2 linked regions of the Caenorhabditis elegans genome follow. The protein of the gene in region 1 purifies or fractionates together with the protein of each later gene. This does not show direct contact. Each region holds a gene or a part of one and is shown in the gene's direction. Other genes may lie near its edges.

The links.
Region 2: the proteins of F22E5.8 (region 1) and Y47G6A.15 fractionate together in Caenorhabditis elegans (co-fractionation; one large-scale study listed by BioGRID). This does not show direct contact.

Annotation. Positions count from the first base shown.
Region 1 is NC_003280.10:2,638,200-2,642,250, forward strand, and holds F22E5.8 (BTB domain-containing protein), read left to right. Parts: upstream 1-1,838; 5' UTR 1,839-1,881; coding exon 1,882-1,992; intron 1,993-2,040; coding exon 2,041-2,310; intron 2,311-2,774; coding exon 2,775-2,886; intron 2,887-2,937; coding exon 2,938-3,143; 3' UTR 3,144-3,209; downstream 3,210-4,051. Other genes in the region: F22E5.9 (uncharacterized protein), read left to right, coding at 203-304, 360-636, 693-793; F22E5.23 (uncharacterized protein), read left to right, coding at 3,299-3,316, 3,363-3,483, 3,535-3,695; F22E5.7 (TransThyretin-Related family domain), read left to right, coding at 3,891-4,045.
Region 2 is NC_003279.8:3,472,260-3,478,213, reverse strand, and holds Y47G6A.15 (DUF148 domain-containing protein), read left to right. Parts: upstream 1-1,913; 5' UTR 1,914-1,922; coding exon 1,923-2,062; intron 2,063-3,790; coding exon 3,791-3,857; intron 3,858-3,906; coding exon 3,907-4,416; intron 4,417-5,019; coding exon 5,020-5,139; 3' UTR 5,140-5,249; downstream 5,250-5,954. Other genes in the region: AFG3-like protein spg-7, read right to left, coding at 265-558, 1,577-1,696, 5,662-5,770.

The DNA of each region.
Region 1 (4,051 bases):
AAAAACCAACGAAAAAAACTGATATTTATTTGAAATTTAAAGCTTCCCGCGGTTTTTATTGTATGATGTGCGGTGGAGCGCGTTTGCTTATTTTTGCTTATTTTCATTTATTTAAGGTTTATTTTCTCCATTTTTTTTTTCACTTTTCTTGCGATTTTTCTTCTTTTTTCTTTATTAATAATTTAAAATTTCAGACCACAAAATGTCAGCGAAAATTATGTGGAAAAAGTGCTACGACTCAATAAAAACAGTGGCAAAAACAGTTCCGAGCGCAGAAGATTCGATGAAAGGCGTGAAAAATGCGGTATTTATTTGGTTTTCACTTAAAAGTTTTGTAAATATTTAAAAATTAATTTCAGGCTTCCAAAATGCGCGCCGGTGTCGATGAAATTGTGGAAAAACGAAAATTATACGCGGAATCTGAGACTGCAAAACTCAAAAAATCACTGAAAGATCTATCGAAGGAAAATTCCGATTTAAAAATGCAAAACCTGAATCTTTCCGCCGAAAATTCAGATTTAAAATCCAGAGGATGGCTGAGCATATTTAAATCGCCAAAAACCGAGCCAGAATCCCGAAAATCGTCGAAAAAATGGGCTCTGGCGAAGAAGATGCCACAAATTTTCACAATTTTTGGTAAATATTAATTTTTTATCGATTTTTATATTTAAAAAAACCCTCAACATTTCCAGCAACCGCCACCTACCTTGCCAAAACCGTCAGAAAAGTCGTCTTCATCACTCCTTTCATCGCCATCGCCGCAATCTACACGAAATTCAAGAAATTTTTCTAGATAATTTATATAATCTATAATGAACGTGTCAAAAATTTGTAATAAATTACGAGTAACTCCTTTTTTTGCATTAAAAATGCAACAGAAATTGGTTTAATAAATAATTTCATTTTTCACCGGATTCTGTGTATTTTACTTCTTGGAAGGACTCAAGTGCGCCCTAATGAACTGCTATATTACGTAAACTCGAAATTCTGAGAATGCGTACTGCACAACATATTTGACGCGCAAAATATCTCGCAGCGAAAACTACAGTAATTCTTTGAATAACTACTGTAGCGCTTATGTCGATTTACGAACTCAATTTTCTAAATGAATTAAAATCAATATTTTACCGGTAAAATATTGAAAAAAAAAAAACAAAAAAAAAAATGTAAAGAAAAAATCGAGCCCGTAAATCGACACAATCGCTACAGTAGTCATTTAGAGAATTACTGTAATTTTCGCTACGAGATATTTTGCGCGTCAAATATGTTGTGCAGTACTCATTCTCAGATTTTAGTGTTCTTGTAATAAAAAAATATTTTCCTAGGCTTAGGGGTTTAGGCTTAGGTTTAGGCTTAAGCTTAGGCTTAGGATTAGTTTTAGATTTAGGCTTAGGTTTAGGCTTAGGCTTTCGTGTAGGATTAGGCTTAGGCTTAGACTTATGTTTTGGCATAAGTTTGGGCTTAGGCGCAGGATTAGGACTAGCCTTAGATCTAGGTTTAGGCCTAGGCTTAGGCTTAGGCTTTGGCTCAGGCTTGGCGTCAGTGGGAGAGCGGGAGCTCCCCCACTGACGCTATTTAGGGTTAGGATTACAGCGTTTTTTTTCATTTTTCAAAGGGTTCCCGTTGGCCGATCAAAGCGAAATTTAACACAGAGACGTATAGGCCACTAAGAAGCTTCCGTGTAAAATTTCAAATTAATTCCATCAAAACTCGCCGAGTTATGGAGCTTAAGGTGTTTTCAAAATGACCCTCAACTATTTTTTAAAATTTGAAAGTTTGGCGTTTTGTCAGTTTTCTCCCTAAGCTCACGATAATCTTATAACTGATAACAAACTGTTACTCCATTTTTTCTCTCTTTCTCTTCTCGAAAACTCTTCGAAAATGAGTGAAACTGTACAACTGGACGTTGGTGGAACTATATTCAAAACTTCAAAATCTACATTAACAAAGTTCAATGGATTTTTAAAAATTATGCTGGAGAGTGACATTGGGGTTTGATTTTCCTGATTTTTTTTTCCCGTTGAACTTTCAAATTTTCAGCTAAAAATCGACGAATCTGGGAGTATTTTTATTGATCGTTCCCCGAAACATTTTGACTTGATACTGAACTTCATGCGAGATGGTGACGTGGTTCTACCCAGTTGTGAACTCACAGTGAAGGAGCTGCTAGCAGAAGCTCAATTCTATTTGCTCGATGAACTAATTGAGTTGTGTAGTTTAAAGATTGAGCCTGTTCAAGCTCCAAAGATAAAACTTCGGTTTATTGAAAATGATTCACAGCTGCTTCAAATTCTTGCTGCTCAACAGAAGGTGAGTTTCGATAAAATAATGTAGTTTTCAAATTCATAGGACAAGCTCAGTTGGTAGTGGTGGCCGCTAGAAAGCTCGAGGTTGCGGGTTCAAGCCCGGCTTCACCCCCTTAGTTCACTCAACCTCTATTTGGAAGTGGAGCAATCCACGACTAGACTATAGGCCACAGTCCCAGGCTAGGTGGCTTAAATTATATCCCAACGGGGGCACCACCAGGCAGTGTACCTGATTCCACCTAAATGATACCTTGGAAATGGCTTAAATTAAAGCCCAGTGGAAGCTGTACTCCCAGGCCTATAGTGAAGAGCGTTCGTCAATTATAAAATATTTGATCAGTTTCGATGTTCAGTTCTGGAAATTCGATGTTCAGTTCTGGAAATAGTTCTGGAAATTAGTTTCTGGAAATTAAAAATGTTCAGTTCTGGAAATTACGTAAGCCGTCTCTAATTTCAACATTTTTACAGCCAATGCTCATAATTGAATACTGTATGGTCGGGAATGATATGTCGATTCCTTATAATTTTAATCTTTACGAGTTCATAGAAAAGCAGTCACACCAGTTTGATATTTATTTTCGTAAGTTGCACAGTTTTGCACTGATTGAAGTTAAAAAATAGAGTAATTAAGAGCGATTGAGTGAAGACGAATCTTCTCACAAATGGAAAGCTAGGATAAAGTGGAAACCTACTGAGAATGGGTATTATAGTCAATTTCCCTACAATCTTCGAATTAATCGAGGTGGACGGATAATACGGGATGCAGTTTTTTTGGAACGATTGGAAAAAATGATCGGGGAGTTTGATGAGTTTTTGAAGAAGCAGAGGAATAGATGATTAACTCCTTTTGTGGGTTTTTGGCGATATTTCTAATTCAGAAGTTAAAAAAAATTGTATTTTAGTAAGCTTGTTTTCAATTTTTAAACACAAAACATATAGATAATTTCAAAGTCTCAGTGATAACAGAAATTCCTATTTTTATTTTTTTCATCATGGCTGTCCAGCAAAAAGTGAGTTAGAATGTACTTATTGCTTTTCCTTTTTAAAGTTTTTCAGCCATTGCTCATTATTGGATATGTGCATGATACCGATAGACTGCATAGTATGTCCCTTCCAAAAAATTTCAATGTGCGTGCCTTCATTGATACGCATTCCAATCAGTTCGAGATTTATTTCAGTGAGCACATTTAGTAAATGTTTTTTTGTTGAAATGTTTGATTATTTAAAGAGGAACATAAAAATCATAAGTTTTGGACTGCAACGATAATGACGGAACATAATGGGCATCAACAAAATTTTGAGCTTCCGCCGCCAATATTTGACTGGGGACAAACTTCATCTTTTTTGCTCGGGTTGGAAAAGATGATCGAACAGTATAACAGCCGTTAGAAAAACAATTAAAATTGTTGCTTTTCTTTCATTTTTGTTTCTTGAATAAAAAATGCACATTTCAGTCCTACTTTTATCATTCCATTTTCAGTTTTTTCAATAAAAATGTTATCAGTATGCTACTAATCGACAAGCTTCTTTAAAAAGGCCCCTTTGCTTGCACTTTCCCATTTGTGCCCTGAAAAAAAAATCGTTATGCAGTCAATTAGCAGCAAACTTCTGCTCCTACTTCTTCTAACTTTTTTATTGACTTTCTCAAACTCCACAAAGTTCACAGCACTTGTGAATTTGAGATGTCGGAGCCATGCGGTTTGGTATAGCCATGCCTCGATGTGGGAGAAGGATTCTCTGTAAGT
Region 2 (5,954 bases), on another chromosome or scaffold:
TTTTTTTCTGGCATTTTATTATTTTTTTAATTGGATTTTCTAAATTTTTATGCACTTTGTCACAGAAAATGCTCCATGTAGTCAAAAATTTCACATTTTCACATTGAAAAATCATTTTTTTTACTGCGACAAAGCTATTCAAAGTTTAGAAAAGTCTATTTTTTCAAAAATTGAGAGAAAAAATTTGAAACTTCAGAAAAAAGAGCAAAACATGTGCAATTTCCCCATTTTTTCGCCAGAATTTCAAAAATAAAATTTCACAAATTATTCATCATTTTTCTTCTTTTCCTCGTCCTTCTTCTTCTTCTCACTCTCCTTATTCCAATTTTCGAGACCTTTCGGAAGTTCAACATTTTCATCGAGTCCTCCGGTACCTGAGACCATTTCCTCGTACGTATTCTTCTCAACAAATGGTCTTTTTCCAACAAGTTCAATCATATCTTCACGATTAAGAATCTCTTTTTCAAGAAGTCTCAATGCGACTCGTTCAATATCACTTCTCTTTTCCAATAATAGATCACGGGTTCGGCGAAGTGCGTTCATTACGAGATCTCGGACCTGGAAATGTTAAAATTTTTAATATTCTAAATTTTCTACATTTTTTTTTCTACATTTCGAAACGCCAAAAAAAAAACGTTCTAGAAAATTTTTTGAAATTAGTGTTTTCATGAATTTTAAAAACATTTTTCAGAAAAAACATTTTCCAGGACCAGAAAATTTTGAAATTTTATTTGAACGCATCATTTTTTGAGAAATTTAAAAACTGTAGTTTTTCTCTAGCAACTAAAAATGAATTGAATTTTTGAAAAATTTATTCCGGCAATTTTGAAAATTTTGTATTTTTTAATCGAATATAGTTTTGGGTGATTTTTTAAATTGGATTTTTCGGTTAAAGTCAAATTTTCGCGCAAACGATTTTTTCCGGCAAATCAGCAATTTTCTGGAAGTTAAAATTTCCGGCAAATTGGCAAATTGTCGGAATTGAGAATTTCCGGCAATTTGGCAAATTGGCAAATTGACGGAATTGAAAATTTCCGGCAAATCGGCAAATTGCCGGAATTGAAAATTTCCGGCAAATCGGCAAATTACCGGAATCTAAAATTTCCGGCAAATCGGCAAATTGCTGAACACTATAATTTCCGGCAAATCGGCAAATTACCGGAATTGAAAATTTCCAGAAAACTGGCAAATTGCCGGAATTTAAAATTTTTGCCAAACGGCAAATTGCCGGAATTGAACATTTCCGGCAAATCGGCAATTTACCGGAATTGAAAATTTCCGGCAAACCGGAAAATTGCCGGAATTGACAATTTCCGGAAAATTGGCAAACTGCTGAAAATTAAAATTTCCGGCAAATCGACAGATTACCGGAAATTAAATTTCCGGCAAATAGGCAAATTGCCGGAATTAAAAATTTCCGGTAAATCGGCAAGTCCGCCCACAGATTATAAATTAATTTTGAATTAAAATTTTCAAAATATTGCCATTTTTCTGAAAACTATCAGAAAATATCATTTTTCTTCGATTTTTTCCAATTTTTTCGTAGAAAAAAACTAATTTTCTACCAAAATCCTACCTCCTGATCAATGAGCTGTGCGGTGGCCTCCGAGTACGGTTTATCAAATGCCATTTCTCCCGGAGCTGGTGTCTCAAACGACAACGGTCCGACCTTTTCGCTCATTCCAAACTTGACGACCTGCAAGGAAAAAGGTCTTTGTATTATTGTGTGCAGCAATTGTGCAATGTAATGTATACTACAATAGTAGTATGAATAATAATAATAATAATAATGATACATCCGTAATTTCACACTGCCCGACACCACTGACTGACTCATTCTCTTCCCGCACACTGCCTGGTACCGAATCTTACTATATAAGGAATCCCGACGAACGTTCTAATATCAACCATCTCAACAAACTATGAAGATCATACTTCTTATTCTCATCGCTGCCTGCGTCTCCTCTGATGCTACAAATGATTCGAAGAATGCCGTTCTAGGAGCATCTACATCAACTCAATTGGCCAGTATTATGAATTCACTGCACAATCTTCAAGGAGGGTGAGGTTTTTCTGACTTACAAGGGATAAATCTTTAAATTAAATCTCGGATTTTGATATGGCATAGTAATTAGTAATTTTTTTCGATAAAAGAGTGTTACTGATCAAGGGTGGGAAAACTTTTTCAAAGTCAAGAAATCAATCAATCGAGAATTCTTGATTTTAAATGTCAAGAAAAAATCAAGAAATCAAGAAAAATCAAGAAATTTCATTCGGCTAATATTTTTGAACGAAATTGAAAGAAATAGTTCAATTTTTCAGTCTTAACTTTTTTTTAAACGAATATCAACAGAAGGAACTTCAAAAATTGACAAAACGTGCAAAATTATTCATTTTTCGATAAAGATGTTGTCAATCTTTTTGAATTTCTTTCTGCAATCCTCATTCTTTCAACTGAAATCGGGTTTTATGATGTTTTTTGAGTTATTTTATTCTGAAAATTACAAAAATTGGAAAATAATTCAGCCTAAATTTCGAATTAAAAATTTCTTGAGGAGGGATTCTTGACAAAATGTCAAGAAATCAATCAATCAAGAATGCCCACCCCTGGTGTCGACTTTTCGATTTTTTTCAGAAAATCGAAAAATCGGAAAAGTTTTTTTTTCGATTTTTCAAAAATTAGCTTAATATTTTGGGTTTAGAAGAAATTTCAAGGTTTTTTCTTATCAATATAAGCAAAATTAGATAAAAAATCATATTTTATGGTTAATTTTTGGAACATTTTTTTCGATTTTTCGATTTACCAGAGAATCGAAAAATCGAAAATTTTCGTTTTTCGGTTTCCAATTTTTCGATTTTTCGAATTTCACCGAAAAATCGAAAAGATCGAAAAATGACACCCTTGTTACTGATGACTGCTCCGAGAAATTCAGCTGTACATCTTCACCAATTTCGTTTTGATCTACGAGAATTGCGGGAGAAGAGACGCAGAGTTCTTAACTGATTTCGCATGGCTAAGACTGTGCTGACGTCACATTTATCTGGGAGAAAAATTCCCGCATTTCTTGTAGATCAAGTCGTAATGGGACAGCCTGGCACCACGTGCAGCTTCGGCCAGGTTATTATTTTTTTAATGCCAAAAAACACATTTTAAATATTTAGAAAAAAAAAGTTGTTTTTTTTCAAAAGCTCAAAACAGTAAAAAATACCCTAAACTATACGAGTTTTAGCTCATAACAATCAAGAAAATCAACGTTTTGGAATTTTTTCATGGTATGTAGGACTTTTTTTGGCTTTTTGCACTTTTTCAATAAAAAAATGGAAAAATGGAAAATTTTTTCGGCGGCACATCTGGTTAGGATCGATACTTAAAAAAAAAAATTTTCCGAAAAAAACGTTTTTTTTTCAGAAAATCGGCATTTTGCTTAAAAAATTTTTTTTTAATCGAAATTGATTCAGAAAATTTTTAAAGGGATGAATAAAATAATATTCTCCAAAAATTCCCAAAAATTTAATGGGGTTATTCAAGTAATGTAGCAAAATGTATTAAAATACATTTGTGACGTCAAAAATGTATTTAAATACATGTTTTTTATATACTTGAATAAGGTTGTGACGTAATTTTTCTACACTTTTTAATTTTCCGACACTACTTGAATAACCCCATAAGGAAAAAGGCAAATTTTAAGCAAAAAGTGATTTTTTGAGTGATTTTAAGACATTCATGGTAAAGCAGAAAAGTTCGGTGCATCTATTCACGATAATTTTCTTAATTTCCACCTTTTTACAGCGGTCCAAACGCACAACAGACATACACAGGAGCCCAGTATAATAGGCTGGTGGAAAAGTTTAAAAAGGTGCGGTAATCTCAAATCACCTCGAAAAAATTAGGACACCTTTTTTCAGGAGGTTGACAAAGCAGATGAGCTCGAAGCGGAAAAAAGACAATTAGAAGCAGAAATGGTCAGTTTGAAACGTAATTTCGATAGCCAGTCTGCAGAACTTGTGAAGAGTCAAAATCAAGTTCTGAAACTCGATTTAAACGTGATGAGATTGGAGGCTAAACTAACATCCTCGGACGCGAATCTTGATAGAGCAAAGGACGAAGTTGAGACAGCCAACAGACGTCAGAAAAGAGCAGAAGATGACGCCAAAGATGCTCGTGATGAACTTGAAAAGGAAAAGAACGCCAATAGGGCAAACAAAGCCCTTGTGGATGAATTGCGAAACGCTGCTGCACAGACGACAAACGAAATGAGAAGTCTCCGAAACCGCCTGGATGAATGCAATAATCAGAGAAATGGACAGACGACAACCACAACACAAGATGGTTATCCGTTTGTGTCGAATCAGCAGAATCAGCCAAGAGCATCAAATACTAATCAAGGATTGGACAGAGTTGACGTCATTTTTGTGGTGAGTGCATTTTACTATTTGAAAAATTGCAATTTTCGCGTTTTTTTTCCTCAAAAGGTCACAATCTCCACACAGTTTTGTATACAAAATTTTGTAGCGAAAAAATTCTAGAAATAGCCATTAAATGGGCGGAGTCTGATTCGTTTTGAAGATTTCTCTTTACATGTTTTTTAAAGAGCTCCGGCCATTTTTTGAAACAAATTCAGTTCGAGATGAAAATGCTAGATACCAATAAATGGGCGGGGCCTCTTGGTGGATTTGCTTCCAAGGAGTCATAAGTATCGTTTTTGAGATTTCTCTTTTAAATGCCTTCTTGTACATTTTTGGCCAACAAATTTGCCCGTTTTTCAAAATTGAAACGAAAACATTTCGAAAAGGCCAATAAATGGGCGGGGTCTCTTGGGAAATCTATTTCCACGGAATGAAATCTCCGAAAAACCAAATTTTCGCCTATTTTCTGCCAAAATTGCTTCCTTCCAACTGTTCCTCCTTAAAAATACCTAGTTTTGTAGCGAAAAAACCCCGAAAAAGTCAATAAATGGGCGGGGTCTTTCGGGAAATCTATTTCCACGGAATCTAGTATCCGAAAATCTCAAATTTCAGCCAAATACCAACGGCGACCAAGGAAGCATCCAATTCGGAAATGGCTCGCCAAATAATGGTCGTGGTGGTGGACAATACGTAACTCCACAGCATCTGCTCAACCTGCTTCAGCGTCATTAAGCTATTTATTCGAGTGCCTACATTCTTTGTTTTTCAATCTAATTTATTTGTCCTATTCTTTTCATCTTATTCTTTTTCTGTTTTCTTCTAAATAAATGGTTTCAATCGGGAAAGCAGCTCACACATGTCTTCTGGTATTTGCCTGAACTCTCCATTTTTCACACACTATTTCTCCTTGGCTCTCCTCCCGCCGAAACAAAAACATAATCGACTTCATATGTCAGATAAAGCTGCTCTCTCAGAGCTCTTCAGTCAAACATTCCCCCATCCATTCAATCATGAAATTTCAACTGATTCTTCTTCTTCTTCTTCTCCAAATTCTGATTATTTTCACGGCTCTCAGCGGCTCGGCTCCAGTCAAATGCACATGCAACGTGGATCCGGACACTGGCATTGCGTCGACGATTTGTGAAGGATTGACAGAGGCTCTCGACAAGAAATCGCCGGTTTTAGATTAAATTCGAATACTTTTTGCAACTTTTGCTCCGTCTCAATAAAGCTGTAAAATAAAATAAACCAAACCTGTGAATATGCCATTTGTGTAACTTTCTGTAGATCATCTTGTGCTCCAGTTGTGATTCGTCCGAAGAAGATCTCCTCGGCGACGCGACCTCCGAGTGTCATGCACATTCTGAAAAATTTTTAAAAATTTTGAAAAATATCGAAAAATTAAAGGTTTTCTTTTGCCAACAAAATTTGGCTCTTTTTTTGGTAAAAAATCGCAAAATCGAAAAAAAAACAATATTTTTTGAAATATGCATAATTGAAAAAAATCAGAAATATTGATTTTGAATTGAAAAATTTCAGCTAAAAAT